4 linked regions of the Drosophila melanogaster genome follow. The protein of the gene in region 1 purifies or fractionates together with the protein of each later gene. This does not show direct contact. Each region holds a gene or a part of one and is shown on either strand. Other genes may lie near its edges.

What was found.
Region 2: the proteins of U2af50 (region 1) and Prp19 purify together in Drosophila melanogaster (affinity purification with western blotting; one study listed by BioGRID). This does not show direct contact.
Region 3: the proteins of U2af50 (region 1) and Upf1 purify together in Drosophila melanogaster (affinity purification with western blotting, with the first as the bait; one study listed by BioGRID). This does not show direct contact.
Region 4: the proteins of U2af50 (region 1) and fand purify together in Drosophila melanogaster (affinity purification with western blotting; one study listed by BioGRID). This does not show direct contact.

Annotation. Positions count from the first base shown.
Region 1 is NC_004354.4:16,355,380-16,361,350, forward strand, and holds U2af50 (U2 small nuclear riboprotein auxiliary factor 50), read right to left. Parts: upstream 3,075-5,971; coding exon 3,029-3,074; intron 2,828-3,028; coding exon 2,264-2,827; intron 2,194-2,263; coding exon 2,105-2,193; intron 2,039-2,104; coding exon 1,916-2,038; intron 1,839-1,915; coding exon 1,377-1,838; 3' UTR 1,317-1,376; downstream 1-1,316. Other genes in the region: PIG-Q (phosphatidylinositol glycan anchor biosynthesis class Q), read left to right, coding at 3,961-4,607, 4,671-4,779, 4,844-4,979, 5,041-5,185, 5,241-5,317, 5,384-5,499, 5,553-5,667, 5,735-5,835. UniProt on the Drosophila melanogaster protein: Necessary for the splicing of pre-mRNA. Binds to the polypyrimidine tract of introns early during spliceosome assembly.
Region 2 is NT_033778.4:18,445,967-18,453,634, reverse strand, and holds Prp19 (Pre-RNA processing factor 19), read left to right. Parts: upstream 1-2,593; 5' UTR 2,594-2,726; coding exon 2,727-2,745; intron 2,746-2,809; coding exon 2,810-4,163; intron 4,164-4,214; exon of another isoform or gene 4,215-4,266; coding exon of another isoform or gene 4,267-4,708; intron 4,709-4,763; coding exon of another isoform or gene 4,764-5,534; intron 5,535-5,584; coding exon of another isoform or gene 5,585-5,694; intron 5,695-5,750; coding exon of another isoform or gene 5,751-5,827; intron 5,828-5,881; coding exon of another isoform or gene 5,882-5,921; exon of another isoform or gene 5,922-6,023; coding exon 6,024-6,168; 3' UTR 6,169-6,274; downstream 6,275-7,668. Other genes in the region: Dnaaf3 (dynein axonemal assembly factor 3), read left to right, coding at 1-858; rswl (roswell), read right to left, coding at 919-2,259; CG30120 (uncharacterized protein), read right to left, coding at 4,267-4,708, 4,764-5,534, 5,585-5,694, 5,751-5,827, 5,882-5,921; Lamtor2 (late endosomal/lysosomal adaptor, MAPK and MTOR activator 2), read right to left, coding at 6,495-6,617, 6,685-6,871, 6,930-6,997.
Region 3 is NC_004354.4:11,899,496-11,908,247, forward strand, and holds Upf1 (Upf1 RNA helicase), read right to left. Parts: upstream 5,877-8,752; 5' UTR 5,540-5,876; intron 5,482-5,539; 5' UTR 5,417-5,481; coding exon 5,249-5,416; intron 5,187-5,248; coding exon 1,854-5,186; intron 1,785-1,853; coding exon 1,743-1,784; 3' UTR 501-1,742; downstream 1-500. Other genes in the region: CG43156 (uncharacterized protein), read right to left, coding at 6,957-7,169. UniProt on the Drosophila melanogaster protein: RNA-dependent helicase and ATPase required for nonsense-mediated decay (NMD) of mRNAs containing premature stop codons.
Region 4 is NT_033778.4:13,590,568-13,597,808, reverse strand, and holds fand (fandango), read right to left. Parts: upstream 4,166-7,241; 5' UTR 4,084-4,165; coding exon 4,039-4,083; intron 3,981-4,038; coding exon 1,950-3,980; intron 1,887-1,949; coding exon 1,311-1,886; 3' UTR 1,252-1,310; downstream 1-1,251. Other genes in the region: S-Lap5 (Sperm-Leucylaminopeptidase 5), read right to left, coding at 1-987; CG45088 (uncharacterized protein), read left to right, coding at 6,037-6,102; CG6191 (uncharacterized protein), read left to right, coding at 6,365-7,209. UniProt on the Drosophila melanogaster protein: Subunit of the NTC(Nineteen)/Prp19 complex, which is part of the spliceosome. The complex participates in spliceosome assembly, its remodeling and is required for efficient spliceosome activation. Essential for efficient pre-mRNA splicing.

The sequences.
Region 1 (5,971 bases):
AGCTCAATTGGCATCAATTTAATGGGCATTTGATATTCAGTTTCAGGATCAGCTTTTCATAAGTATTATATTACAATCTTCTTAAAGACTTTTAACTGAAGAAAATAGACCACTTTCATATGTTATCTGGAAAACTATTTTAGACCTTTCTCTTAGCACAAATACTCAAACAGCATTTCAATCATTTAGCATTTACCTTTTTTATTTTCTCTTTTAAAGCTTAAAGTAATAATACAATTTATAAAAAAAAAAGGGCAAAGGAAATTTAAACCACTTTGATTACATATGTCTTCCAGTTGTTTAACAATTACGATATACCACATAATTGTGTCTATGTTATTTAACCACGATTGTTGTAGCTAATGTTACAAAAACTAAAAGTTTGCAAACAATATTAAAATAAAATGTAATTATTCAATTACATTTAAATGAACGTGCCTTAAAATTCGAAATGATCGAAATTTTAAATGTTTGAACGTTAACTATTGAAGTACACCTGTTGCTAAAATAACAAATATTTGAAAAATAATAATATAGCTCAAAGATATCTATTTTTTATAAAATCAAAGTTCTAACTTAGCTTCTTCTCTAAACTGCGAAATCTAAATATCTAAAGCCTAAGTTCAATAGACGTATTATTACTAAATGCATTATATAATTTATATATCTAGATATTCATAAAATGCACTAGTCGATTTAAGAAGTGGAAATTGTGCTCCCTATGCGAATCATTTAGGATTTTAATCTGAAACTATTTGCATTCCATACGAATGCCCCACTGAAACGATCGATATCATTTGTCTTGCACTCGCATTTAATTATTTAACAAACATTCTGCTGTTTCCATTCGCACAATAGTTCTAATTTGGACATTTTGCGCGTTTGAGCGCATTAGCAAATCATGCTTAGTATATATGTATGTGTATATGTACCCAAAATGTATTTCATTTGTACGTTCCGTTTTTAAGTGATTTGTATCTGTACGTCTAATAGATATTTTCAACTGTTTTTGTAATTGCCTTATAATTCAGTAAACACACACCATACGTATACATTCATAATTATTTAATGCCAAATAAATGTTTATCCGGCGTTAGCTGTCTATATATATACAAAGTTGTTTCTATATGTTGGATTTCTGAGAATTGAGGAAGCCACCGAATGAAGTAGTTATGTTATATACCCTTAAACTCACGTACAGTTTCAACCCATTAGAAGCATTTGGAGTTTTCGTTTCCAACTTCCGGCTCACAATGAAATAAGCGACTATCCCTTTCTATTTCATGGTATCTTCGTATTTTCGTAGTCAAAATTTTACTTTTATTCTGATATTTATTGGACAAATGGTGAATGTGAGATATATGATTTACTTGTATCTAAAACTCGCGTCTGTGGTATTTGTCGGGATCGAAATATGATGTGACCACAACGCGGTCGCTGAATTTACGTCCAGTAAGTGCTTGCTGCGCCTTCTGACAGTCGAGAACCGAGTTGAATTCGACAAAGACCTTGCCGCAACCGGGAACTTCGACGCCCTCGATGGGACGTGGAATTTCCACGCTCCGCACGACTCCGTATTTCGTGCACTCCTCCTTGATGTCCTCCAAGATGTCCTCGTACTCCTCCTCGTCCCGCAGTTCATCGGGCGTGACCATGTTGAGCAAGCAAAGAACCTCAGTCGGCGGTCCAGAGGTCACCACATTGGACAGGCCCGGCACTTGGAGCATTACGGACTGCGTGGTGTTGGCCGCGTTCTGGGCATTCTTGGCGCCCACACTGGCTCGTTGGACAATCAGTTTTTTGTCACCCAGCTGCATTCCATTTAGGCCAGCAATCGACTACAAATTTTATTAGGAATCGAAAGAGAGTTAGAGTTAAGATTGTGTTTGTTTGCAATTTTGAAGTAGTTTCGTACCTGATCTGTGATGCTAAGATCGACATATTCACAGAAAGCATAACCCTTACTCAACCCAGTAGCGGCATCCTTAACCAGGTTGAAGGCTCGTAGCTTGCCAAACGACAAAAGCAGTTCCTTAACCTACAGCAGCAGAAGATACAAATGTTTATGAGAATTCGAATGGAAACGTTTCAATGTTGAACCAACCTGATCGTCATTCAGATAGTTTGGTAGACCTCCGATGAAGATTTTGTGAGGCGAGTCCGGAACCACTGTCGAAATAACTCCACTGGAAACTGGAATGTGGAATGGTGGTTATTTGATTAGACCGTGTGCCAATGAAAATTAGGATATTTGTTTACTTACCAACAGCGGGCTTAATTGCCGGCGTATCTGTTATACCCGGCATGGGCTGGTAATCGTGCGGACGCCTAATCTTTAAGCTCTGCCCCTTCAAATTGATGCCATCGAATGCCATGGCCTGGGTGGTTTCATCAATCGATCGGAATTCGAGGAAAGCAAAGTTTTTGTCCAAGTTAATTTGGCATGCCAAGACGGGACTGCCGGCCGCCTGGGCGAGCCCAACTAAATGCATCTGTTGGTTGAAGAACTCCATCATTTCCTCCTCGGTGACGCCAAACGGAATGTTGCCAACGTACAGGCGACGCGCCTGTCGGGTAATTGTCGATCCGACCACGGGCACTGCCGTTTGTGGTGTATCCGGCACAACGCTTGCCGGGATTTGTCCGGACGCCTGCATGGCTTTGTATTGCATCGGGGTGATGTGCTCGAATCCCGGCGGCGGTACATCCCAATAAAGCGACGGCTTGCGCCTCGAGTTCCGGTGATGGCGTCGATCCCTGGAGCGTTCGCGATGGCGGTCCCGAGAGCGGGAACGATGTCGGCGTCTCTCGCGATCGCGTTCACGGTCTGCAAATACGATAGGAATTAAATATGTTGATTCTCCAATCGCTATTTTCGCAAATGTGTCCCGTCCCTGTCCACCTCACCCAGGAAGAGCACACAAATTTAGCCATACACACGGGCACACGCGCATATGTAAGCCATGAACAAGGACACATTTCGGTGTATGGTGTATGGTTAGAAGCATTTATGGTCATAAGAACTCGCCTTTATTGTCGATATTCACATATTTATCTTCAAAATTCATTTCCATCCCGAAATGCACTGTATTCTATTAAAAATAGACTCAAAACTCAACGTATGTACGTATGTATGAATGTATGAATGAGCGAAACATCGAAATAGAAAAAAAAACAACCGGTCTAGAATGAATGCGATTATTAACAAAACCCTAATTCAACAGACCTTTTTTACATATAAAAAAAAATGAAACAAGGAGCAGGCTGCGTTGCCGCGATAAACAAATTCAGTTGCACATTTTTCACTTTCTTTGCATACATTTATAGTTGTATGTATGTATGCATACATATATATACATAAACATCTATTTATGCACACTTGGGCATCAAATTCAGTGCGGCCCTTTACTTGCTCTCTTCATTGAACTCACCATCATATCCCATTCTTGTTGCTAAATAAAATTAATATTTCTTAACACGAAAACAATTTTAACTCTTTAAAATGCCGAAGAAAAATGTGTCCCTCTATTGCGTATATTAACGCAAATATAAAAGAAACGACTTAAAAAAGAACACGTGAAAACTGAGAAACAATGGAATGGACCACCGATAGCCGAGGGCTAACAGTGCGACACTGGCAGTTTCGAAGTGTCGTTGAACGATTTATCGACATAAATTTCACTTGTAGGGTGTCCATTACTGCAAAATATTTATATAAATTATTATACATAATCATACATAATAATATAATAATAATAATATACATACATACATAAAAATACACGCTTAAGCGACATCTGACATATACGATTCTGCAACTATTCTGTACTCCCTAGTTTGTTAATCAACAAACGGTGACGTCACACTCAATTGTATACCACCTTCTCAAGCATGCTGTATTTGTTTTGTTTTGATTGAGAGAAGAAATACCGGTGTTTTTGTCAGTTAATCGATTATATTATGAGCATTAAGATATATTTACCGGTCAACTATTATTACCTCAATAAGTCAACCAATTTGTACGGCCAAGTGCAAATAAATGAAGATAATGTCGTATCGTATTACGTGCTGGAAGCATCAGATTTGGAGTTCAGTGACAAGGCCATAAATCATGAAAAGGGCAATCTGCGTTTCCTGGGCTCTATTCTCAACGAGGATTTCAATGCGGACCAGAACCAATTTCTTAAGTTCAATATGCGATTGTGTTTCACATACAATAGCAGTCAGGCGAATATAACACTGGTTTATTTGGGCATTACGCCCGAATATCTGAAGCACATTAAAGTGATTCTCTACGACAAGCAAATGGTACGAAATCTGTTCGTATCTGGTGAATCTGAAAATAGGCGATCTTTGGAATACAATGATAATGATAGCACCGATTGCGACTTTCTGGAGCTCTCTAGACTGAATCAACCAACTGCTGACAACCAAAACAAGGCAAACAATAATGCCAACAAGAGTATCCAATATGGCTTAACACTCATTGCCGATTCTCCAATTAAGATATTCGAATATATGGCGGAAAATGTATTTATCAACAGCATTATGGTTCACACAACTATTTATAAGCATTTCAAGGAATGGCAGACAGCATGTGATAAAAGGTAGTTGGGTTAAATCGATGATGCTAAATATCATATTACTATTACTTAGTTTCTATCAAGCAGATCTCGACCGGCTAATATAGTTCTTGATAGAATACTGGGGATTATATTGATGCTAATACTATTTACGCTTGCCACACAGCCTGGTGATTTTCTAATACAAATATCTCATGTATGTCCGCCATACAAATTTGATTTTACATATGTGACATTAACTTATTGCTTATCTATTGTAGTACGTTATTGACGAATTGTACGGCCTGTTGAAAGTATTAGAGGGCAGTCCCATTGGCCTCAAGCTAAATATACATTTAAATAATTTCTTTCTCGACTGCTTCAAATATCATATTGAGCTGTGGTCAACATTTTTGGGTAAGCTTTTGGGTCTACTTAAATGCATGATAAGATTGATAACATTGTTCTCTTACTACAGATTTCATTGAACCTTTAGTACGACAAGTTTTCTTGGCCATTGGAATGATTGGATGCTTGGGTTTTACATTCCAGATAGCCTTACTAGTGGACTTAATATCCGTTATTGGCTTACATTCACATTGCTTCTATATTTATACCAAAGTGTAAGTTTCTGCAATATATATTGACCGCTTTCAAACAATAATATTATTTTCATAGCCTCTACAATGTGGAAAGAAGAGGTCTTTCTGTTCTATGGCAAGTGGTTCGAGGCAATCGTTACAACATTTTAAAAGGTATGTTTTAAGGTTTTTGCCAATCTAAGCACTATGTTAAGTTTTACCAATTCTTATACTTTTCAGGTCGCACTGAGTCCCACAACTATATGAATCGGCAATTATATCTAGCTACCATATTTTTCTCGGCTATTCTGTTTTTGTTACCCACTACCCTTGTCTACTATATAGTTTTTGCTGCTGTAAGTTTAATATATAATCGTTGAATTTCGCAATAATACAACTTTCTTTATAGCTGAAGGCGCTCACATTTGCTACTCTAAGTGTCTTTCATTTTTTGCGAAGAAAACTGATGTATCTCCCGATTGAAGTCTGTATAAAACGGTTATTAAGAGGATGTCATGAAATAGGTAATTGTGTAAAGAATGTGGATGCACAAAATGATATTTATATAATGATTTTTCTATTGACTCGCAGATTGTATTCAAATCAAAGATGTTTCACATCACGAAAGGGCTTTCCTGATGCACAAACAACAGAAAATCAACGTGACAGTGTATAAAATTACAACTTTATAATCCTTGCCATATATGTAGAATATATTTAGAAGTAAACATAACATGTTTTAAAAGTACATTTACATTTTATTTATTGAAACTTCATTTGTTCATTTGATGTTTTTTATTACTATCAATACAAAACAAATCGAATCTA
Region 2 (7,668 bases), on another chromosome or scaffold:
GTTGGATTGGTGCGCAATGGACGCAACTTCATCCACCGTGGCTATGTGGGTGATATCCAGACTGGACCGTTTTGTGGCTTCGGGCTGCGCACCGTGGAGGAGCGAATGCATCATTCTGTGCACGGTGATAATGATTATCGTGCTACCGATATAACAGAACGCAATCTCATGGAATTCTTCCATGAATTGCTGACCCAGACAGCCTACGAGCATGATACCACTCGTTCCCGACGGTATGGCTCTGTTCAGCTGCTGATGACGCCCTTGTTGAACCACCAGGAAGAGGACGCTGCTGGGCAAGCGGCTTACGATAAGCCATGGATCCACGTGCCCGGAGTAACAGTGCACTTTGTGTCGCCCATGGAGATGGAGCAGCTGAAAAAGGGTGCAGCTCATTGGAACAATATGTTTGATATCGTCTTTATGGCCTATAACTATTACTCTTTCTTGAGCAAGGACTTCTTCCAGGCGATGCGTGCGCAATCACTTTTTATTCTGGAAACCAAGCTGATGACGGTGGAGCGCAAAGATCGTGTGCAGGAGTACGAATCCAAAGCTAAAGAACTGATGAAGGATGCTGGCCTTAAGGCGGCCATCAACTACCAGGCCATCAACGGCAAGAACATGTGGCTAAAATACAAAAAGACCGATAAAGATGAACAAGAAGATGAAGCCGTGACAGAAGCCATGCCAGAAAGTACTTTCAAATATGACACAGACACAGATTATGGTGAACCTGCTGAAGAGTATACTGGTCTAGTAATTGAAGAGATTCCCTCATCGAATCAGACTGTGGCAGCCATTAAGAAGGAAGTGGAGGCAGAAGGTCCCCTACAACCAAAAACTAACTTCCCATGAATAAGAAATCCGAATCCGAATAAAATGAAATATGCATCTTAATGAATACAACGAGTAACTTTAATTTTGTCTCTGCTTTTTCTTTTGCTTCCCCGTTGCCCAAGTGTCCAGTTGGAACTCCAAGCCCTCCCGTCGCTGCCTTACATTCTGCGGAGTTGCATAGGAGGTAGCCTGCCGGCGATTCTCGTCAAAATCAAACAGATGATCGATTCGCATATTAAGCTTCCTGGCCCGCGTGCCTGTGCTCCAATGATCTTTCTCCCTGCGCGGCTGGAATTCGTTTTGCACGACCTTCCGACGGGGCACATGCTTCAAGGCCGTATCCCAGTCGCCGGTTTTCTTGAGGTCCAGCATAATGTTGATCATCTGGTTTAGAGTTAGCGACTTTCCCGAACCGGAACCCCACTGTAGGTAGCGATCCAGGGGCAGTCTCGCCATCCGAAGGCCCAATCGTTTGGCTTTGGCCAGCGAAAGGGGTTCGTTGTTCATAGTGTCTACCATGGCGCCCACGATGTAGATGTCATCTGGGTTGTAAGTGACCAGATCCTCCCGGCAGTGGGGCGTTAGGTAGACCAGGTTCTGCTTGGGAAAGAGTTCCGTAAAGCACTTGCTATGCAAATTTATCGGGAACTCTGGATTGTGCATGGTGGGGATGTAGCGTTGGAGGCTCTGCATGCATCTGCTGTCCATCTGGGTGTTGCAATAGTGCAGATCGAAGGGCTCATCATTCATCCGGTTCTCCGCAAAGCACATCATCAATTGCTTTGCTGCATAGGTAGCCTCCCGATTGTTCATGTGCTCATCGTAGGAGCAATCCAAAACCATTTTGGGGGCAAACTGCATGGCCCGTGTGAGTCGGTTGTTCTGCCAGTGATTAATAGTGGTATCATAGATACGCAGAAACAACGATGTGTGTCCCAGGCCATAGATAATGTGCGTATTCTCCTCGCGCTCCTTTCGCATCTCCGCAACCCGCCGCTCGGCTTCCTTCGCTCGCTCTGCCTTCTTGCGTTGATCCGCCTCCTTCTTCATCTCGATTTGCCAGAGATAGCCAAAGTACTTGATCCTAGCTGATTTTGTGGGTAGCGTCAGCACGTGCTCCCAATGATGATCCTTAAAGAATTCCAGTGACGGCACCCGCCGACCCTCCTGGTGGGCAATGTCCGCCTCCAGCTGCAGCACCTTGAGTCGCTTATCCCGTTCCTCCTTGTTCTCTGATATCGTATCATTACTTAACGCAGGAGCGGGCTGGGAAAACGGATTGACGAACTTTTTTTGGGGTTCCTCTGTGCCGGCTATCAGGTTCTCTGCGCTGGAGGTTTTGGAGGCTTGCCTCACTGGTGCGGCACATCCCTTTAGCAACTGGCTGCCCAGACGCCATCGTGCAAAATGCTTCAGCATTTTAAAAATATACCTTAATGGCAGTAAACTATGTTATAAAACTAGATCGTGAATTGAATAACAGAAACAACGTGCTAGGGTTGCCAGCAATTATGGATTGTGCGTGCGGAACTGTGATTGGCAAAACGGTGAGATAGCTGATTGATTTAAGATATGTTACTCACTTCTCTATCAGTAAATGTCATTTATCTATAAAAACTATTGTTATGGATTAAATACTTATTGAATGTGTTGTGTTATCAATAAAATAAATTGTTTAAATTCTAGCTAGTTTTTTCTGTGCAAATTTCTAGCCAAAATCCATTTGATCTGGCAGCCCTGTGCTCGAAACTCCCGCGTCGCCGAGTAACTGGCATAATAAGAAGAAGCGGCTTTGCCGACAATTTTGCGCTTGGCTCGGGAAAAACGTGTAAAACATTTAATTTACCAACAAGACTACGCGAAAAGCGACATAATCACAAACAGCAATGGCTTTGGTTTGCGCACGTAAGTGAATAATTTAGATTTTGATTTGAATTGGGCCATTATGAATCGCACTTTCCATTCCAAGTGACAAACGAAGTCCCCGAGACGCCCGTGGTTTCCCCGCACTCGGGAGCCGTTTTCGAAAAGCGGGTGATTGAGAAGTATCTGTTAGAGAATGGCTGCGATCCCATTAGCGGCAAGGAGCTGAAGCCGGAGGAGCTGATCGAGATCAAGACGCCGGCTGTGGTGAAACCGAAACCGCCAAGTGCCACCAGCATTCCGGCCACTTTGAAAACGATGCAGGACGAGTGGGACGCCCTCATGATTCACTCGTTCACACAACGCCAGCAGCTGCAAACGACGCGCCAGGAGTTGTCCCATGCGCTGTATCAGCACGATGCCGCCTGTCGTGTGATTGCCCGCCTCAATAAGGAGGTGGCCGCCGCTCGCGAAGCTCTGGCCACGTTGAAACCGCAGGCGGGCATTGCCAACGCACCCACGGCAATACCACAACCGGCCCTGGCCTCTGAGGCTGGCGGAGCTGCTGCCCATCCCATGGAGCAGGCGGGCATGAGCGCCGAGGTCATACAGAAACTGCAGGACAAGGCCACGGTGCTGACGCAGGAGCGTAAGAAGCGCGGACGCACTGTGCCCGAGGATCTGGTTACAACGGATCAGGTTAAGAACTTCCTTACTGTGGCATCCCATCCCGGCCTACACTCGGCCTCCGTTCCCGGCATTCTGGCCTTGGACATCAACAGTGCTGATCACAGTAAGATTCTGACCGGAGGCAACGATAAAAACGCCACCGTGTTCAACAAGGACACAGAGCAGATGGTGGCCATCCTGAAGGGACACACCAAGAAGATCACCAAAGTCATATATCATCCTAACGAGGATACAGTCATAACCGGCTCGCCCGACATGAACATACGCATCTGGCACGTGCCCACTTCGCAGACGCAGCTTCTCCTGCGCTGCCACGAAGGACCTGTTACTGGCCTTTCGCTGCACCCCACTGGCGACTACTTGCTGTCCACATCATCCGACAAACACTGGGCATTCTCCGATATCCGCACAGGACGCCTGCTCACCAAGGTAATCGATACCGCCGAAGTCGGGCTGACGACAGCGCAATTCCATCCTGATGGTCTGATCTTCGGTACGGGCACCGTGGACTCGCAGGTTAAGATCTGGGATTTGAAGGAGCAGAGCAATGTGGCCAACTTCCCTGGTCATACCGGTCCCATTTCGGCCATCTCCTTCTCGGAGAACGGTTACTACCTGGCCACCGCTGCAGATGATGCCTGCGTTAAGCTGTGGGATCTGCGAAAGCTGAAGAACTTTAAGACAATCCAGCTTGATGACGGCTACGAGGTCAAGGATCTGTGCTTCGACCAAAGCGGAACCTATCTGGCTATCGCCGGCAGCGATGTCAGGTAAGTGAATTGTACTTTTCTTATTGAAATCATTCAGAATGAGGTTAAAATAAGTTTTAAATTGTATTCATTTAATGTTTTAAGTATGGTGTTGTTGTCTAGCTTAGACTTTATTTTTCCATCGTTGCTCAACCTGCTGATCATGATGCTTCTTGAAATGCGCCATCCAGTTGTGTAGCCGGTTCTGCTTGACTAACGCACGGCGAGACATTTCCTTCTCCGCTGCCATGCGACGTCGAACCTGCTGCTCGACACTTCGCAGCTTGCTCGGTTCGATGTGGTCCAGTTTAGCCAAGAGCTCCAAAACGTAGCCCTGGATTTTCTCCACCTTGGCAAGAGTCGTGTCCTGTTCGTCCGCGTATGTAGACTTGGGTGGCGGTGGTGGAGGCTGCATGTCTTCCAGTGTTCGCCATTGCTTGGACGACTTCTGGGCTGCTGGCTTGGATGGCGGCTGCGTAACCTCTCGCTTTTGCTCCGGCTTAACTTTGTTTTGGATTTGCTTGAGAATAATTGGTACAATAGCATTTAGCTTGATATTCAGCTTGCTGGAAATTAAGAATATAAAATAGTTGATTCAAATATGTACGCATCCCAACTCACTCCTTGCAGTATCTCTGCTCGAAGTCATTTAATAGACCCTTGGCACGCTCCTGAAGACCTGCCACCCGTCGCTGCAGGAACTCGGGATCCTTGAGGAACACATTGGCTTTCACCTGACGCTCGTACGTCTTCTGGGCCTTGTCATGGAGGATGGCTACGATGTGGTTCAAGATTGCCAACTGAGAAAAGCGCCTGTTGTAGTTGGACACCTTTAAGCGATTTCTCTCATAGCCACGTATCCAAATCTCTGCATTGAGATGATTCCGCTTTGCCAAATACGGACGCACTATCTTCTCCATGTAGTCTTGGACTTGACGCACTTGCTCGAGACCCGCTGGATGTCGTTCGGTGATCTCCATGGCTACGATTTCCTGCGGCATGCTAAGCCTATTGCTGGCATCGTCTCCCTCGGTTTGCTCCTCCTCAACTGTGTCATCAAAGTAGCTGATCAGTTTGAGTAAATACTGAAAGCGACCGTAGACCTCCTGCACTTCCATCAGCACTCGCTGATGCTCCAGCTTCACCTCGTTCAGCTCTTCGCTCAGTTTGCTTTCCTTCAGTGTCTTCAGCTTTTCTTGGGCCTCTAACATTTTCTTAAACTCCTCCGCTTCCATTTTCTTGAGCGACTCCTCTGCAAACTTGTGAAACTCCTCGGCCTTTTCGTATACATTGTCTTGGTATTCCTTCTCGCGTTTTCGGTCCAAAAAAAGTTCTTGCGTAGCATAGTACATAAAGCGATTGCGGGTAATCTCCCTCAAGAGTAGGATGTCCCTGAAAAAGCTGTGAAATTGCACCAGCACATAATTCATTTGATTCCTTACGTTTTCATGCGAAATTTTCTGGCCAAACGTTGCGCACTGGCGTCCTTAATATAATCGGGATCGATGGTGGTGACCACACAAGGAGCACGGGGATTGGCGATCTCTCCGCGCTGAGGAATATTAATAAAACTTAACTTTGGAAATATAAAAATTAATTATTTCGCACCGCATTGAAGTCCTCAATCGATAAGTTTATGGGCTTTGGAGGCTCCGGTTCCACATGGGTCTTGGGTCGCACGAAATCTTGAAGAGCAGCATGCATTTTTAAGTCTTCGCATATTAGAATATAATACTTACTTTCATATTCGCGGTAAACTTTTCTTTTAAACTTTCGCATTGTTAAGTTAAATTCGCCAAAGAAGATTCCCTTAGTTAACTTGTTTATTTGGTTGCCACGGTACAAATACAAATTCTGACGGTTGCTTCGTTTTATTTACAGGGTTTACCTGTGCAAGCAGTGGCAGGAACTGAAGGTATTCAACGACCACACGGCCCTGGCAACGGGCGTGAGATTCGGCAAGCACGCCCAGTATCTGGCATCCACCAGCATGGACCGCACCCTGAAGCTCTACGCCATCGAATAAGTCCACACTTAGTAATTAAGTCCAAAATTTTCTTATACAATATTCCCTAATGATTGTGTGTTTTCTTGAACAAATCTTGCAGAATAATAAACCTGACCCTCTATCCAAATAATTCAGAATACGAAATATCTTTGGGTTACTTTTGGAAACCAGCAGACAAGTTTTTCCTTAAATACTAACAAAATCCTTAAAGATTCATAATTTCAAGTACTAATATATTATCGTTTAAACTTTTCCGCAGACTATTCATATTCATTTGATTCACTTTTGATGCATACACTTATTAACTTATTCATTTCGGAACTTGGTACATCATTGTTTTATCCTTATGAGGCCGAGATCTGCTTAAGCGGTCGCTCCAAATAGGAGGCCAGTGACATGGCCTTTTGCTTCAGAAGACCCAATCCCACCGTTTGCTTGGCGTACAGGCACAAAAGGACACTGGCAACCTGTAAAAAGGAATATAGTTAAGATTTTATAGAACGAATCCCTGCTAAAAAAAAGAGGATCACCCACCTGTGTGATGGCCACATGACCGTTTTCACAATCGATGAGCACGAAAGTGAGGCGACCTTCGCGAAAGGCGTTGCGTCCATGCTTCTCGTAGGCCGCCCATATGTTGCTGGCTATGGCCGCCGTTATCCTGGCATCCTTATCGCCATAACCGGAGTAGGCCAATAGAGCTCCCTCCTGGCTGAGCAGGCTGTGGATGCAGGGATAAGTGATATTTGAAGGAATGGCATGGTAAGGGACTATCCTACAGGGTGTTCTCCACTCCGCCGGTGTTCGCCTGGCTGAGAACCTGCGTCAAAGCTTTGGGTTTCAACATTTTGTGTATTTTTAAAGAGGGAAAATATAAAAAACAACAGAACTACGCCTTCACAAACACTGCATTCTGAATGGCAACAAATTCAGCTGATAAGGTGTGCGCGTTGCGCTGTGAGTGACAATGGCAAATGTAGCGCCATCTATATGACGATTTAAAGTATATAAACAAATGAATTTTTCAAATTAAGATGATTCGTTTTTGTAATCAATATTTATTATTATATGTTTTCGGTTGGGAAATAGGAAACATTCATTTTTTTTCTTTGGTTTCGTAACTTGATAATAATATAGAAACAAAGAGATACGTTTTTTAAGAGAATATACCATTTACAAATTAGATATTAACGTAATGAAAACGCAATATTTGAATTTATAGAGGATTTTATAACTTTTCAAATTTTCCAAACAATAACTGCATAGTTAACTTGAACACACCAAATAAACTCAAGCTTTTAATTTATTCCAAGCACCTAAAAAATGTTTTTATATTTTTTGTTTTTAATATTTCTATCCCCTACTTACAAATGCTGACTCAGACCATAATCCCCAAATAGTTATGCTTCGTTCTATCAGTTACTTTCTTCAGAGGCACTTATCTCGCCCATTCAATTGCTAAAATGGCAGCCAAGCTATCTGCGTTCCATACATAACTTCCGCATAACGAGAATTTAA
Region 3 (8,752 bases), 4.5 Mb from region 1:
TAAAAAGAAAGTACAACAACTTTATGGTACTTGGAAACAAGAATGAAGAAACTAAATGGATAGGTAATATGTGCAGCAATGTTAAATCGAAACAGGAAAGCTTGTAAATTGAAATTCAAAAGAATCCGAACCGAATCATCCGTACGGAAAAGAACGTGAAAGCAGCCCGACTGGAATCGAATTTCAATACACTTTTACATTACATACATTATCTTGTTAAATGTTATTATATTCTCCTATTTATACCTTTAAACACTCGAATTGTTTGCTCGCATTCCATTAATTATTGTAAACAGCCACGGAGGTGTGCGATGTTCGTTCCTCCAGTGGTGTGTATGTATCTATTTGAAAAACAACATGTCATCCGAAAATGTAAAATTGCAAGTTCTGTAAATTAAAAAGCAACAAAACAGCCAAGTGTCTGGAAACTCGAATATAAATTCAATTTTCACGTGCCCCAAAGAGAAAATTCTTGGCGCGAATATTGGTTTTTTTTTTTTCGCAAGGGAATTCTTTATTTTGAATTTCAAACAAAATGTTCCATTTTCTTGATACAAAGAGTCGCATGGAGGAAGAATTAACTGACAATATATAGAAAATATATACGATTTTCATGTCGTTTTAAAAACAATGATCAGGCATCTGTAACTGCATTAATATTATTAATAACTAACCTTTTCTGATCCTGATCATTTACTCCGTTGGTTCAGTTTGTTAATGTTCGCCTGTTTTTTTGTGGTGTTTTTTTTTTTGTAGTGTACCTATGTAGATCGGTAAATCGCAATGCGTTTTCCTATCAACCATTCGATATCCGAACTGCGCTGGAAGCCTGCATCCGCTTGGGGGGATCCGCCAGCGTTCCCGAGCGATTATAAATGGTGTATCCATGTTTTTTAAATTTGATTTTGTTTCGTCTTGATTCTTTGTTTGCGTGATTTTCCTTGTTTTTGTTTGATTTTGTTTTCGTGTTTGTTAGGATAACAAATGCATCAAAAAAGAGTCCAAAAATGTACAACAGTGGGCATACATATATGGGGATCGGTATAAACCGCTTTGGGTGGGAAAATGTTAAAACAGGAGCTAAAGATTGGCTGCTGCACTAGAGGCCAGAAGAAGGTTAGAAGATAAGCCACTTGGTGAATACATGTCCTGGGCGGGAGTGATTGCGTCTTTGTTAGGCTCCGGCTGCGAATCCTGGGCTGGCAAAAGAGAAAAGAAACGTGTCGAGAAGTTGTCCATCTTGTGTGGCGCCTTGCTGGCAGATTGGCTCATCCGTGGGCGAACTCCGTCTCGGGAGCGCACTCGTGACCAATGGCCAATGGCCGGTGGCCAATGGCATGTCGCCTGGCTATGACTCCATGGCCCGCGGCGCTACGGAAACAGCAACTGCAGCTGTGCATCCTGGCAGCCTACAGTGATTTGCTCTCGATATTTCGATCTTTCGACATCTCTCTCCCGTCTCAGTCTTCTTTATTACTTTGTAACTCCACATCTTGCCATATCCGTCTCCATCTATCACGCTGCCTCGTCTCGATTTGCCATCTTTTAATGTCCCGCTTTGTCCTAATGTTCTTAGGTCGCATTGTTTCCCGCATCTGTCGTTGTTCCCGTGATGGTCCTCTCTGCTTTTTCCTGCTGCCTACTGATGCTACTCCTTGATGATGACTTCAAAGTTGAGTTTGTTGTTGTTTCGTTTGTGTTGCTTGTTATCGTTTGTAGTTGTTGCACCTCCAACCGGATTCTCAATAAGGCTGTGAGAACTGATTCAAGCTCCGCTCGCCCGACTGCGAAACACAAATAATTCAGATTACCTAACACTCTTTGGGTTTCAAAAATATCACTTCCACACTTACCGCGTTAAAGGCAACATCCTGGGATAGCAAACCGTCCATCTGCGATATTTGCCCAAAGTCCTGTGAAAGTTCCGGCTGCTGGGACAGAGCAAATCCGCTGGGCTGGGTCATCTGCAGCGACAAAGGCATCGGGTGCTGACTGTATGGAGCAGCATTGCATACCGAGCTTCCTTGTGTTAGCGGTGCCCCGCCAGTTCCACCGCCCGTTACGCGCGATTTTCCCAGCTTGTTGGTCTTCTTATTGCCGCCTGGGGTGGCGCTTCGTCCGACTCCGACTCCAGTGACTCCAGGACCCGAGTTACCGGGAGAGAAATTACCCGTCTGTTGTTGAATGGCGCGATTCTGCTTGACCGCCATGATCGCCTGCTGGTGCTGGTTGTAGAAACGCGGCGGAATATTGCTCATGTTCATGAACATGCCAACCGGAACTGGCATGTTGCCCAGTGCTGCTGCTCCATGCTCGTTGGATATATAGCCAATGGAGTCGTGGTGGAGGTGGGCAGCCGCCCAACTGGGTCCAGCCCCTCCGAAGTTGTTGTTGCCACCGGCCGCGCCATTGCCTCCGTTGCCCAGGCCAAAGCCCACCATGGAATTGGAGCTGGGAGTACCGTAGCCGAGGGGTGAGTTTCCGTAGGGACCACCTCCACTGCCACCGTACTGTCCGCCATTCATTGACTGTCCCACCATTTGGCGACCTTGGCCGTAACCGCCACTGCGGTCGTAAATGGAGCCTGGCACCATCACTTCCTTGGCATCGGCAATAATGGTGGACATAAAGTGTGCCCCAATGTTCATGCTGTTGACAAGCTTTTTGGGCTTCTGGAAGTGGATTAGCGACTCCTTAAGGTTATTCAGAGATCCCTCGACGAGCACCTTACGGTCCTTGTAGAAGTTGAGCAGATGGTTCCACAGCTGCTGCTTGGCGAGCACTTTGGGATTGCCCACAATGATGATCCCGAACTTGGCCCGTGTAAGGGCAACATTAAGGCGACGTGGGTCGTTCAAAAAGCCGATGCCTTGACGTTCGTTAGATCGCACGCAAGACATGATAATGATGTCCTTCTCACGTCCCTGGAACGCGTCCACACTGGCGATCTCGATCTCCTGGTATAGACGAGAGTGCAGGCTGCCCTGGTATTGCATGTACTGCACCAGGTAAGCGCGCTGACCTTCGTAAGGCGTGATGATTCCAATTTGTTCCGGCTTGATGCCTGCCTTAAGGAATCGCGTCGTAATCTTTTCCACGTTGGCCGCCTCTGTGCGGTTGAGGAAAGAGGTGCCGGAGCCGGCAATCTCCTCCTGTCCCTGTGTTACCAGAAAGAACATCGGTCTCTCCGGCTGTGGCCAGGGGAAATCAAGCTTAAGGCGACGATCCTCCGCGCAGACGCCGTTTTGCAGCGATCCCTCGTAGAAGAAGTTGGACGGGAACTGGGACAGCTCGGGGTGCATGCGATATTGCACCTCCAGCCGGAACGGACGGATGCCCAGAACCACCAGGCGCTCGAACAAACTTTGCGAGAGGCCGGCACGAGCTGCTTTCTTGCACATAACAACCGGTCCCAGCTGGCAGTGATCGCCCACGAGGATCAGCTGCTTAGCGCCCAGCACCACTGGCACCATGCACTCCGGCTCCGTCGACTGCATAGACTCATCGATCAGGATCGAGGTGAACTTGACTCGCGATAGACGACCATCGCCGGCGCCTACGCATGTGCAGCAGATAACGTCGGCAGCCTCCAGCAGTTGGTTCTCGGCGGCACGTTTCAGGTTGCGGTATCGCTTTTCGTCTGCTGAGCTCAGCTCGCCGGTCTCGTCTTTCAGCTGCTGCAGCTTCTTTAGCTCCGAGTTGGTCTCCATGTTACGGATTTGGTTGTGCAGCGCCAGGAAGCTTACCGGGCTATCGATGGCCTCACGGCTCTTGGCGCAAACACGCACCACTTTAAGGTTTGTTCGGTGGATCTTCTCAGTTAGCTGATCCACGGCCGTGTTGCTGGGAGCGCACACCAGCACTGTGCCACCATGGAGCTTGACCAGCTGGTAAACGATGGTCGCCGAGGTCACGGTTTTGCCCGTGCCAGGCGGCCCTTGGATTAGCGAGAGCGGACGCTGAAGCGCGTGTTTCACGGCATACACCTGGCTGCGATTCAAATCCGGCAGATGCGGGGCACTGAAGAGCTTGGGTTGTGGGCCGCGGAACAGCACCTCGTCGTTGGAATCCGCACGACCGTGGCCCAACAGGCGCGAGTAGATGAAGTTCGACACTGAATTGCGATCGATGGCGAATTTGCACAGAGCACGTGTCATGCGATCAAATGACGTGCACTTCCAGATGAAGTCCACCGTAAAGTTACTGGTGCACTTAACCGGGGCATTCGTTGAGGATTTCAGCTCCAGGCCGACGTCATCGCCGAAATTGTCCGGCACCTTGATAACGTGGCCGATCTCGCTCCACGGATTGTACAGCTCGCCCACATAATGCAGGCGCAGCTCGTCGCCATGCATGAGCTTCATGTCCGAATCGGTCTTCGCCAGCGTAAAGTAGGCAATGGTCTTTTTGTTGAGGCCGACGTCCCAGCGTACTTCGATGTTCTCCTGCGTGGCAGACTCCTTCAGTTTTTGGTCGTATTCGGCCTCAAGGCGGACCAGCGGCCCAAAGGTCTTCTCGTACTGATAGCCATCCTCGTAGCGGAGTAGCACATGTGCTGGCTCCGAGTCAATGCCTGGCTTCTCCAGATCCTGAAACGTGGCCTCAATATTCTCCTTCCATAGCTCCTCCAGCTTGTTGATCTGAGCGGCTGAGATTTGGCGAGCTCGCAGCTGTCCCTGTTCGCTGGGTTGCTTTACCAGCCAGGCCAAAAAGCAGCGGTCTGCAATTAGAGGCTTCCACTGTTCCTGGTCCCAGTTCATATCCTTTAGCGAATTCTGGGCGGCACACGGCTGACGGCAGAGCAGCACGACCACAGAATCGGCCTTGGCCGGAATGAAGCCCAGCACAAAGACGTTGCGCACACCACAGGAGTAGCACTCCAGGATTGTCTCGCCCAGGGGACCTTCCCCGTGGAGCGTCACCTCGCGATGCTTGGCCCTCACCAGATGGTTGATGATGTGCGAACCGGAAGTGCTTCCACGACCGTTGCAAAACCATTTGCGGCAGTTGTTGCACATGACCACCGTGGCTGGATCATGGATGCCGCAATACTTGCACGCATGCGGCGGCAGCTCCTTCACATACGAGCTGCCAGGCTCGTCGTCCTCCTCTTCGAACTGCAGATCGGCCAGATCGTTGGTGATGCTGGCCAGTCGTGGATGCGAGTCTCCGGCAGAGCAGCGTTGCTGTAAATTAAAAAGGGTATATGCCATTTGGGTTTCGCGGAATGATTTGGGGGACAACTCACGGCAATCTCCAGCTGATCGTTCTGGGTCTGGCTCTGCGAGGTGGAGGGCATGGTAAAGTCGCGGTAATCGTACTGCGTGGGTTGAGTATCCGCTCCCGGAAGCAGCTCGTTGTCGTCCATGTCCAGGAACGAGAGCGCCGAGCTGGGCGCGTACGTGTCCACGCTCATGGCGCCTGTTGTTTCTTCTCACCCAAGGTGATTATGCTGCGTTTCCGCAGGGATCGCGATGAGATCTAGTTAGCAATGTGCATTGGCCGATAGGTACGTAACTCGGATGGGACTGATGCTCACCTATAGTACCTGCTCCTAGACCACGGATCGCTTGGTCAGTGTTTCCGGAATTGAAAAATTCCTAAGCTTGGAGCGTGGCCGCGATGATTATGGTATGGCGATGGTGTCGTGTGTGCGTTTCGCGCTTTCCGTGTTCGGGAGCCCGCCGTTCGGCACTCTTTCGAAACTGTGGCTGTTGTGTGTTTTAAATTGAGTCTGTACGAGATTCCCACGCTATTGCGGGGAATGTAGGATTAAAAAAAGCGAAAACTTTCTTGCTTGTTCAACAAATTTGCCCGGCCTGTTTTGCCAGTAATAAATATACGTCAGTTTGCATTTGACTCACGAGGGGTCTATCGATAATCGCGTATGGCAACATCAATCGCTAGTGTTGGGCAAGTTGACTATAGATACTATCGGTGATGGGGTGAATAATATATCGTTTAAGTATTGTCTTTTTAGTAATTATACCATAAATTACTGTTTATTTTGGAAAACGCCAAAATCGCCAAAATTTATGAAATGAATAAACAAACATAGGACTCCCGTATTGCGTATTTATTTAAAAGTACTTATATAGTCGACCTTATAATAAACTATTACAAACAGGATTTAACCATAAGGTTTAACTTGAAATAACTTGTTGGATAAAATGGAAGAAAAAATAAAACCTTCAAGTATTTCCTACAGGTTAAAGTTTTAGTTGCGAAGGCAATCATTATAATCAAAACTTTTTTCGTTCCCAATAAATATATATGATATAAATATATATTTTCTTTGTCAATAATGTGACTCATCAAGATTTGCCTTCAGAAGCAAGGGTTCCTTGTAATCATTAAGGGAAATAAAAAAAAACAAGAGAGAGTGCTATAGTCAAGTTCCCCGACTATAAGATACCCGTTACTCAGCAAGTGTGAATGCGAACGCGAAATTTTATCATTTTTCTGGGATATCGATAGATATTGGGGAATAAAATGAGAAAAATTAAAAAAAATGTTCCAAACTGTGGGCGTGACCGGTTCGGCTGCCCTAGGGCGTTAGAGTGGGCGTGTCTTTTCGCAGTTTGGCAACTAAAAAAATTATGAAAAATTTCAAAAAATGGTTCAGAAGTGTGGGCGTTAGAGTGGGCGTGGCAACATGGGTCACCAAACTTGCGCTGCGTCTTTGTCTCTAGAATCTGTATGCTGAATCTCAACCTTCTAGCTTTTATAGTTCCTCATACGGACAGACAGACAGAGGGACATAGCTAGATCGACTCGGCTATTGATACTGATCAATAATATATATGCTTTATATAGTCGGAAACGCTTTCAACGCCAAAGTTGAAATAAACAAGAAACCATTCGAATGTGAACAAATGAGCATAAATAAAAGGCTTTCCCATAAATAAAAATACAGTGGTTATCTTAGATTGAACTTCGTATAACTTTAACTTTGATTAGCGTATAAAATATATATATATCGAAATACATATTGCCAGACAAATCAAAAACGTGAGAACGCAGCAGCATACTGCAGCCCAGAAAAATAATTGTAGCTTATAATCAATAAATAAATTATGGGAATAGCTTGCGCAATCTGCAGCATTAACTTTCCCTAAAATATTTCGTCTGTAGTATTGTTCCTGGTTCGAATCGCTGTTGATGTTCATTTTAGAATTTCCATTAGATTTGAACAATGTCCACCTATAACACAAAAACTGATTTCAAATATGTTTTATAAAGGAATCAATTATGCAATATCTATGCAATTTGTGAATTGTCATCACTCACATTGATTGTGTTCAAGTTTTCGGTTCAAAAAGCTGTACTAAACAATTAATTAGCAGATCGGGATAATTTACGTGTGACTCGCTCGAGTCTCTGAAACGGTTTGATTTCAGAAAAAATGTTGTTTTACTTGAATTGAGCGAGGGCTTCATAAATTTACATTCATTCACATATAGGTACATATGTATGTGCATATGTTTGGGCATTTTCCTCAAACTGCGTCAGTGAAAAAATCAAAAAATGCGCATTCATCATTTAAAATATACACTTGGGAAAATAATTGTATAAATCTCAAAGGAAAAAAATTTTGCTATTTTACTTCATGTTGTTATTTATTTACTTCATTTTATGTCTTAAGGTAACGGAAAAACGTTTTTTTTTTTCTGATTTTGAGAATTTGAATATTTAACCCTTTAAGCATTTTATTTCCTAGTGGTTTGCATATTAAACTTCATTTTGCAATTTTTGCAAATTTGTCTGATAATATATCTCCTTTTACAAGGGCAGATCTGCAAATATATTTCCACTCGATTGTGGAGGTATTGAAATGTTTTTTGAAATCCCACAAGCATTCCGTGTGTGGTTTCAAATTTAAGAAGTAATGAAATGAAACCAAGGCCGCCTTTGTTAGTGGATACATTTATTTATTTATAATTTAATTCAAATTGTTTTAGATTATACACATTTTGGAAGGCTTGCCCAGCCAAAAAGCGAATTAAATATGTAAGTTTGTTTATACGGCTGTAGCAAGTCGCTTTCGCTGATTTTGCGACAATTATTATTTATCAATTAAACTTATAGTATATGTCTTGGACGGATTAGTACTAATGTTACGCGAAAATTGATTATCATGAGAAAGTATATCGTATATCGTGTGTGAACCCTGGAAAGTCATCCGATCCATCATGGATTTGCAATCTACTTGTGTGTCGTTTGTTCAATTAGGATACCCGAACATTAGGCTACTCGTACTCAATTCCAATATGCAGTGTATCGAGAAGAATACTATTCAGTAGTAATACTTTTATTTCAAACCTGTGTATGTATCTATCCCAACTACCATAGTGTATGTTTATGTATATTTTTAAGGACTGAAGTATCCTCGAATCTGTTCAAAATCAATCGTGTGCATGTGGCAGTTTGTATAACATTGTATATACACATATATACATTTGTAACTAGAAAGTATTGGACTTGCAATCAACTAATTTCGACGATAAGTTGAGAAGTAAGATCCGATCAGTTGGACAGGATTTTGTGACCTGCTCATACAAATTTCCCATCAAACGGCAGCGTAACATTTAAAGAACACTTTTAGCTAGAATTAAAACCATCTGGTTAATTAACTACCCTGCTCTTTTCCCTCATCTTTGAACATCTTTGATTAAATGCAAAATCTCAGTTGGAAGTGCAGAACACACGTATCGAATGGAGTTGATGGTACCACTGGGAAAAGAATTTCAAA
Region 4 (7,241 bases), on another chromosome or scaffold:
GCGGTACATATGCAGGCAATCCTTTGGCCGCAGGCACAATCCGCCACTGTTGTAGGTCAAACCCTTGCCCAACAGCAGAATGGGCCGATCCTCGGGTGCTGTGCCGCAGTAGCTGACCTCCAGGACCACCGGTGGCTCGCAGCTGCCTTTGGCTATCATTAGAAACGAATTGAGATGATTCATTTCTATCCAATCCATGGATCGCACCTCCACGGAAACGCCGCACGGACACAGGGCATCCACCGCCGATTGGGCGAATATGGTGGGGGTCATCTGATTAGCCGGCGAATCGCTCAATCTTCGAGCCAAGTTCTGAGATTCCGCCTTGAAGAGACCCCTCGTCCAGGCATCCACATCCGGTGAGTCGTACAGATCCAGTTTGGGTACCTGAGTGCGATCCTGCTTGCGCTTGTTGCTATTGTAACGCCAGATGGCCAGAGCACTGCCCTCCGCCGCCTGCTCCGGATATTCCATGGAGTCCACAAAGACTTCCGTGCAACCCTGCAGTTGCAATGCCCGAGCTCCGACGCCAGCGGCAACGCGGGCATTCTCCATACCCTCGTCGATATTCTCCAGGTCATTGAAGCCGGCACCTTCTTGGCCCAAACCCACCACAGCCACTGCCCGGAATTCGGCATCCACGTTCATGAAGACCTTACCCTTGCCCAGTTCCCCCTTGATTCCAGTTTCGCGCAACAGCTCCGAGACCTTGCCCTGAGTTCGGTCGTCGAACTTCTCGCCGCTGGACGTCATCTTGACCTCCTTACCGTCGCCCTCCTTGGAGTAGACGCCCACCACCACGCCCTTGATAACAGTCTTGTTGTCACACTTGTCTGCTAATCCCCTCCAGATTTGAGAATCCGCTGGCTGAAGTCTGTGGTTAAAAAGTGGTGTTCCAAACAGATTGTACGATTTCCAGGGTGCCGTGACCTGTTGATATAATCTTGGATTGCGCGTAAAAGCACTGATCATGCGTGTGGATGCCATCTTCGAGATACACGGTGTGTGGTTAGTCCTGGTTAGTCCGCCCTTGCGCACGTCTGGTTAGCTTTTTTAGATCACGAAGTGCCTAACAATTTTGGAATGACAGTTGAAAGTGTGTTCCTCTGTTTGGCCTAAGGCTATACTAACTAGATCATCCAAAACGGAGACAATATCTAACAGGCCCCCTTCGTTTGACAACAATTAATATCAAAGTACCATTTAAGAATCTAATTGAGGCCAGAACATAAAAACCGATCAATTACAATTGTAAAACTTTCGACATACATGTATTTACCCCGAAAAAAGTCATATATATGTATAAACATTTACTCTCCATCAGAGTCGCCTTGATTTGAGGGCTTGAGGCTGCCGAAGACCTTGGCTGGAATGGCCTTTTGTTCGAAGCGCAGTTTCTTCATGACCAGGCCTTCCTCGTCGGTTTTCGTGACCGCTGCACTGGCCTGATTCTCGTTCGTCATCTCGTTCTCCTCATCGTCGTCCTCCTCCTCATCGTCCTCGTCGCTGTCTCCAATGTCGATCTCATCAGGATTGACGACCGTATCCTTTTTATCCTTAGCACCACCCTGAGTCTCACCGCGCACAAACATAATATTCGAGGCCGCCTTCTCGATGGGCTTCTGTTTGGACTCGGCTGCCGCCTGGCGAGCTTTCTCCTCCAGCAATCGCATGGCATCCGGTCCAGCTCCTGCTCCAGCATCCGCAGCCGCTCCGTTGTTTGTGCTCAGGAATTGGGCGGCCATCATGTTCACCTGCGTATTGTAAGTGGCCTGCACAGAGCGCTTGATGCGCAGCATTTCGCGCATTGTGTCTTCGTTGCCGTGACGCACTTCGAACTCCTTCCAAGTTTGCCAAAAGTCTGCAGTGATGCGGGGATCACAAACCTGAAGAATGCAAACAATAATTAGATTAAGTGATGCATTAGAAATCTATATATATTATCATACCTGTGAGCAATGAGCATAGATGGCTCTAGCTCGATCCACTTCGCCCAACTTCGTTTCCAACTCAGCAAACTTAACGCACATGTGGCGCATATTCTGCTCGGGCAGCGATTCGATGGCCTTCTCATAGATCTCGCGGGTACGTGGCAGGCCATAGATCTCGGCTGCCTTCTTTATAAATATGTTGTACATGTCGAACATCTCATCTTCTTTGACAGCAGACGTGGCACGATCATAGACCGACATGGCATGCCGGGCGAGACCGTGCTCCTCTTCCAACTTAGCATACAGTAAATAAAAGTACTTAGCATGCTCGGGAGGACACTGATCCAGGCACTGTTCGAAGAGATCTCTGGCTCGCTCCAGTTTTGTGCCGCCATAGCGCTCCAAAAATTTGGTTAGATAAGAGTTCCAAATGTCGTAGACATTGGGCCACTTGAACAGAGAGATGCCCTTCTCATAGGCTCGGTAGGCTTCCTCAAAGTAGTTGTGCTCCTCGAGGAACATTCCGTAATTGATAATGATCTGTGGCGTACAGATTTTCAGATCAATAATCCGCTCGTAGACGGCTTTGCACGTCTTGAATGTGCCGAATGACTCCTCCAAATCCGCGTACATGGACCACACTTTTAGCGAGCGATGAAGGCGCGCCTGCACCGTTTCCGTATCATCATAATAGGCAATCTTTCGCTTTGGCATGGCCGTCGCCCTTTGCATCAGCTTGAGTGCCGCCTCGAACTGCTGTTGCCGTAACTCCATCTCTGCCCATTCGCACCACACCGCCGCCAGATCCTCTACTTTAACATACTCAACCTCAGTGCCGCGTTCGAAGACCACACGAGCATCCTCCACCTGTCCGTTGGCCTCGTAGAACTTGGCGAACTCCACCCAGAGAGTGTGTAGTTTGCCGACCGCCTGCTTCGGCTGCACTGTTTGCACGGCCTCGGTGTACGTACTGATGATCTCGGCGGGCTTGTCCTCGTACAGTGTCACCCGCTTGTGCCACTCGTGCACGTTGTGCGGATTCTGGCGCAGAAGCACACTATTCAACAGCAGCAAACGGCGCTCCATGAGGTATTCGAAGCGTGAGAGCCGCAGTTCAACGTCAATGTCGTCCTCCTCGGTGGCCGCCTCATTGGCAGCTACCTGCTCCATACGTCTGTTCAGCGAGAGTTCCTCGAACTGTGCGTATTCATCAAAGACTTGGGTGAAGTCTCTTACGGTGGTCACAGTTTGAATGGCTTCCTCGTATATATCTCTTGCCCGATCAAATAAGCCGGAACGCACATAGTAATCCGCCAGAGAGTTCCACAGGTGGCCCAGCTGATCGGTGTAGCGACGCAGCCCACCGCGAATGATGGCGTCCACGTTCAAGGAGTGCACCTTGTGTGGATTCTTCGAGATGAGGTCGCACAATTCGTTCCACAGCTGATGATTGGACTTGCCGTGTTTGGAAACGAAGTGCTCGTTGTCGACGATGTGCGCCAGCTGCTGGGCAGCTTCGTCCAGCCGATCTGCTTCCTGTAGGTAGTCCACATATTCCTCTGTGTCCTCGGGAAAGAGTTTCAGATATCGACGGTAGACTCGCAGTGCTGTTTCCGGCATTTCAAAGCGGCGTACAAACTGCAAATACAGTGGCCAAATCCTGCCGTGCTGCGTGATGGGCAGAGCCCTTAGAGCCCGATCGAAAACGTGCCGGGTGCGGGTAATCTTGCATTGCGAGGTCATGAAGGCACCGTAGTCCATCCAGATACGTGGCATTTTGTGCATAAACACCAGTGCACGTTCGAAGGCACTGTTGACCTCCTCGTACATGGGATCCGTGGGTATCTTGCCGCGCACCTGCTTCCTGCGAGTTCTCAGGTAATTGTGCCAGATCTTATAGCTGCCAGGAAGCTCTTTCAGAGCACGCTCATAGACCATGTTAACACCATTATTCGGCGCCTTCGCTTTGTGATCAATGTAGCGCAGCCAATGTTTTACGGAGTAGGCGTTTCGAAGGATTTCCTCCTCATACGGCACATCCTCCACTTCCTGTGTGTGAAAAACTTGATAGGTTAGTTGTGATTTACATATATTTCATGGTACTTACGAAATTGATCTCTAAATTCAGAGATTTTATCGTTTTTGTCACCATTTTTCGCGATTTTCATGAAATGCCGCAAACAATAATTTTCTCATGCGCGTCCCACGAAAACAGCTGATCGAAATGGCGTTGCCAGAAGGTTTGAAAAGTAGTGGTATTAAGATACCGCAGCTAATACCAAAGTAATTAAATCCTAATTAACATGTAAACAATATTTTAAGAATACAGAAAAATTGTTCATAAAACTAAGATAACTTTGGCTTGTGTACATTTTTTTTACAAATTGTGAACATCTAGAATTTTCTAAGTGCACCTTATTTAAACGTTGAAGTTATGGACAAACCAAAACAATCGTGAATTTTCTAGAGTACCATTGCGGTATATTTTGCCTCCCTTTGAATTGGTATTTCGCCCTTCGTCCGCTGCCCAACACTGGCCTCAGTTTGTGAATTTTTCGTAAGCCCATCTGCAGATGTTTTCGTCGCTGCTGCCAATATTTTGACGTTCATACCGTTTGCGTATTTCGCAGAGACCAGTTAACGCGCTCGTAAAATCGCAAAAAACACACTTAACGCGATCGTTTGTTCTGTTTTTGTAAACACATTGCAATTGGCCTGCATTTTGCATAATTTACGCAACGAAGGCAACTGCGTGAGTGCACCAACACACACACACACACACACAGCCGTGCAAAAGAGAGCCAAAGAGAGTGAGGAGCGCAGGCGAGTTGGCAGCCAAAGGCAAAAAATCAAAGTCTATCGAAAAAAACACTATAAAAATAGATCAAAATGACGCGCTTGAAACATTTCTCAGCATAGAACGACTATCAATCGAATTAAGTTTTAAGTAATACCCAACGACCGTGGAAAAACCAAGCACAGTGGTAAGTAAAAGACGAGGGGAAAACACGAAAAAACACGTCACACGTGTGCGTGTGCTTGCAAGTGTGTGTGTGCGAGCGTGTGAGTGGGTGGGTGTCATAAATATTTTCGCACACACTTGTTCCTGCATTGATTTTATATTTTTCGCACAGGCTCAAACTTGTGTGTGCCGCCGCACTCCAATTGGTCCAGGTAAATCCAATTAGACTGGATCCTAGGTAAAAAAAAACCACCACCGGAAAATCTATTTCCCCGCTTCCCGAACAGCTGTTTATGATGGTTCTCAAAAATTTTCCACTCGCTCTTGTTGCCCGAGGGAAAATTTTGGGCATTTTAGGGCCTCCCGTATTGAATGTAAACAGAAAACACACACGAAAGTGCGGAAAAGCGCTTAGATTTTCCTTGCCGGCTGTGGCCCAATATCTCTCTCTTTGCCACCCCCTCTCTTCGCACTGTTGCCACCCACTAAACTGACACACTAAGCCGCCCGCCAGCAACAACAGCAACAACAAAGGCGGCTAAAACCACTGCAGCTTTGAGCCGCATGCAGCTTTTTTAACTGCCAGCGGAAAAGCTTTATCAATTCAGTTGGCTAAAATCCCAGCAAAGATTCGGGTTTATTTCAAGGAAAACTTTTAATTCTTAAAATTAAAAATGCCCGTTGTTTTCAAATGAGATTTTTTAAAATGATTATTATGTCTAAAAATTGTAAATAATCTAAAAGAGTTGAAAAAACCATAGCATATTCACTTAAAAATAGCTTAAAAACATTGCTAATTATAAAATATCATATTGAGATGACTTCTGCTAACAATATTATATCATATTCAATATTTTGCCCACTGAGAATGAGAATGTGCTGACCACAATTTCCCCTAAGCCACCCACTGCACTTCAACGAATATTCCAGAAACGCTCGGAGAAAGCTTCTCTTGGCCAAAAGCAGCTTTCCTGCCGCTTTTTATAGTCTCATTTATTGATTCCATTCCTCTCTTCTGTTCTTATTTCTACTTGCAGCCAAAGCAACGCATCGACGCATAAACGCTAGTTAATAATAAAAGTGCATAAAATTATTCGTATTCCAACCATCTTCCGTCATCTAAAGTGCTAAAAATTCGTCACCATGTCGCGTTCAAGTAGTTTGTTTTTTAATTCGGCTGCCAAGTTAGAGACTAAAAAACTTAATTGATTCGATCAAGAAAAGTGAGCAACCAGCAGTGAAAATACACAACAGCAGCATAATCACTTTCGAAACCAGTTTTTTCGTAAAGAATCGCGAAGAGTGTTCCAGAAAAGTGCAACATCACATTCCCACACAGTATATGCACACACACACAAACACACTATATATACATATAGGTACATATATAGCAACATCGGAGCATCCAGGGAAACGACCCACAGCACCCACTTCGGTTAATCTCGCTTGGTAATTAAGGGTTCATCGCCTAATGGCAAGTTCGCTCAACAAGACGAGACACAGGCGCAGACTGGCTGCGATCTCGTTCCTATCGAATATCTCGTTAGATGGCACCCATCGGGACACCAAATTCGGCGCAACATTCGGCAGCAGCCTGCTCTGCAACCAGAATAAGAACCCATCCTCGCTGGGACTCGGCTCGGGGGGCTTTCATCCGCACTATCAGCAGCACCACCATCAGCGCAGCCACTCGGCGACGCACCACAACCACCAGAAGCGGCATCACACGCAGCAGCAGCAGCAACAGCAACAACAGCAACACACCCAACAGCAGCAGCAGCAGCAGCAACATCAGCAGCAGCATCAGCAGCAGCAGCAACACCAGAATGGCGCCCTCTGTTCGCCGCTCCTCTGCAGCGCCGATGTCCACATGGGCATCGATGGCGGCATCGGGCTGGGATTGGGACTGGAGGACTGCACCACCGGTGCCAGCGATGGGGACGGGCATTTTAGTGAAACTGAAAATATGGGTCAATACCTGATGAACGTCCTGCCGGCCGCCGATCACAATCGCAGCAGCATTGTGCCGGCCGAGAGACGCAACATAAAGCGCCCGACCTCGTCGGGTCGTCATAACCACCAGGCACCGGGCAATGGCAATATGGGCAATAAGCTCCAACAGCAGCAGCAGCAGCAGCACAAGTTGCAGCAGCAACAGCGGCAGGCACGAAGTTGCGCCGCCGGCAGCGGAGGATCGGGTGCCGAGAGTGGCAGCGATTCGGACAGCGTCAAGATACCGCTCAAGGTGTCCAATCTGGGCAGCGGCGGTGGCGTGGCCGGCGGAGCGGGCAGCAAGCTATTGCCGCTGAGGGAACGGTGAGTAATCAATGCACAATTCATGTTTGTCA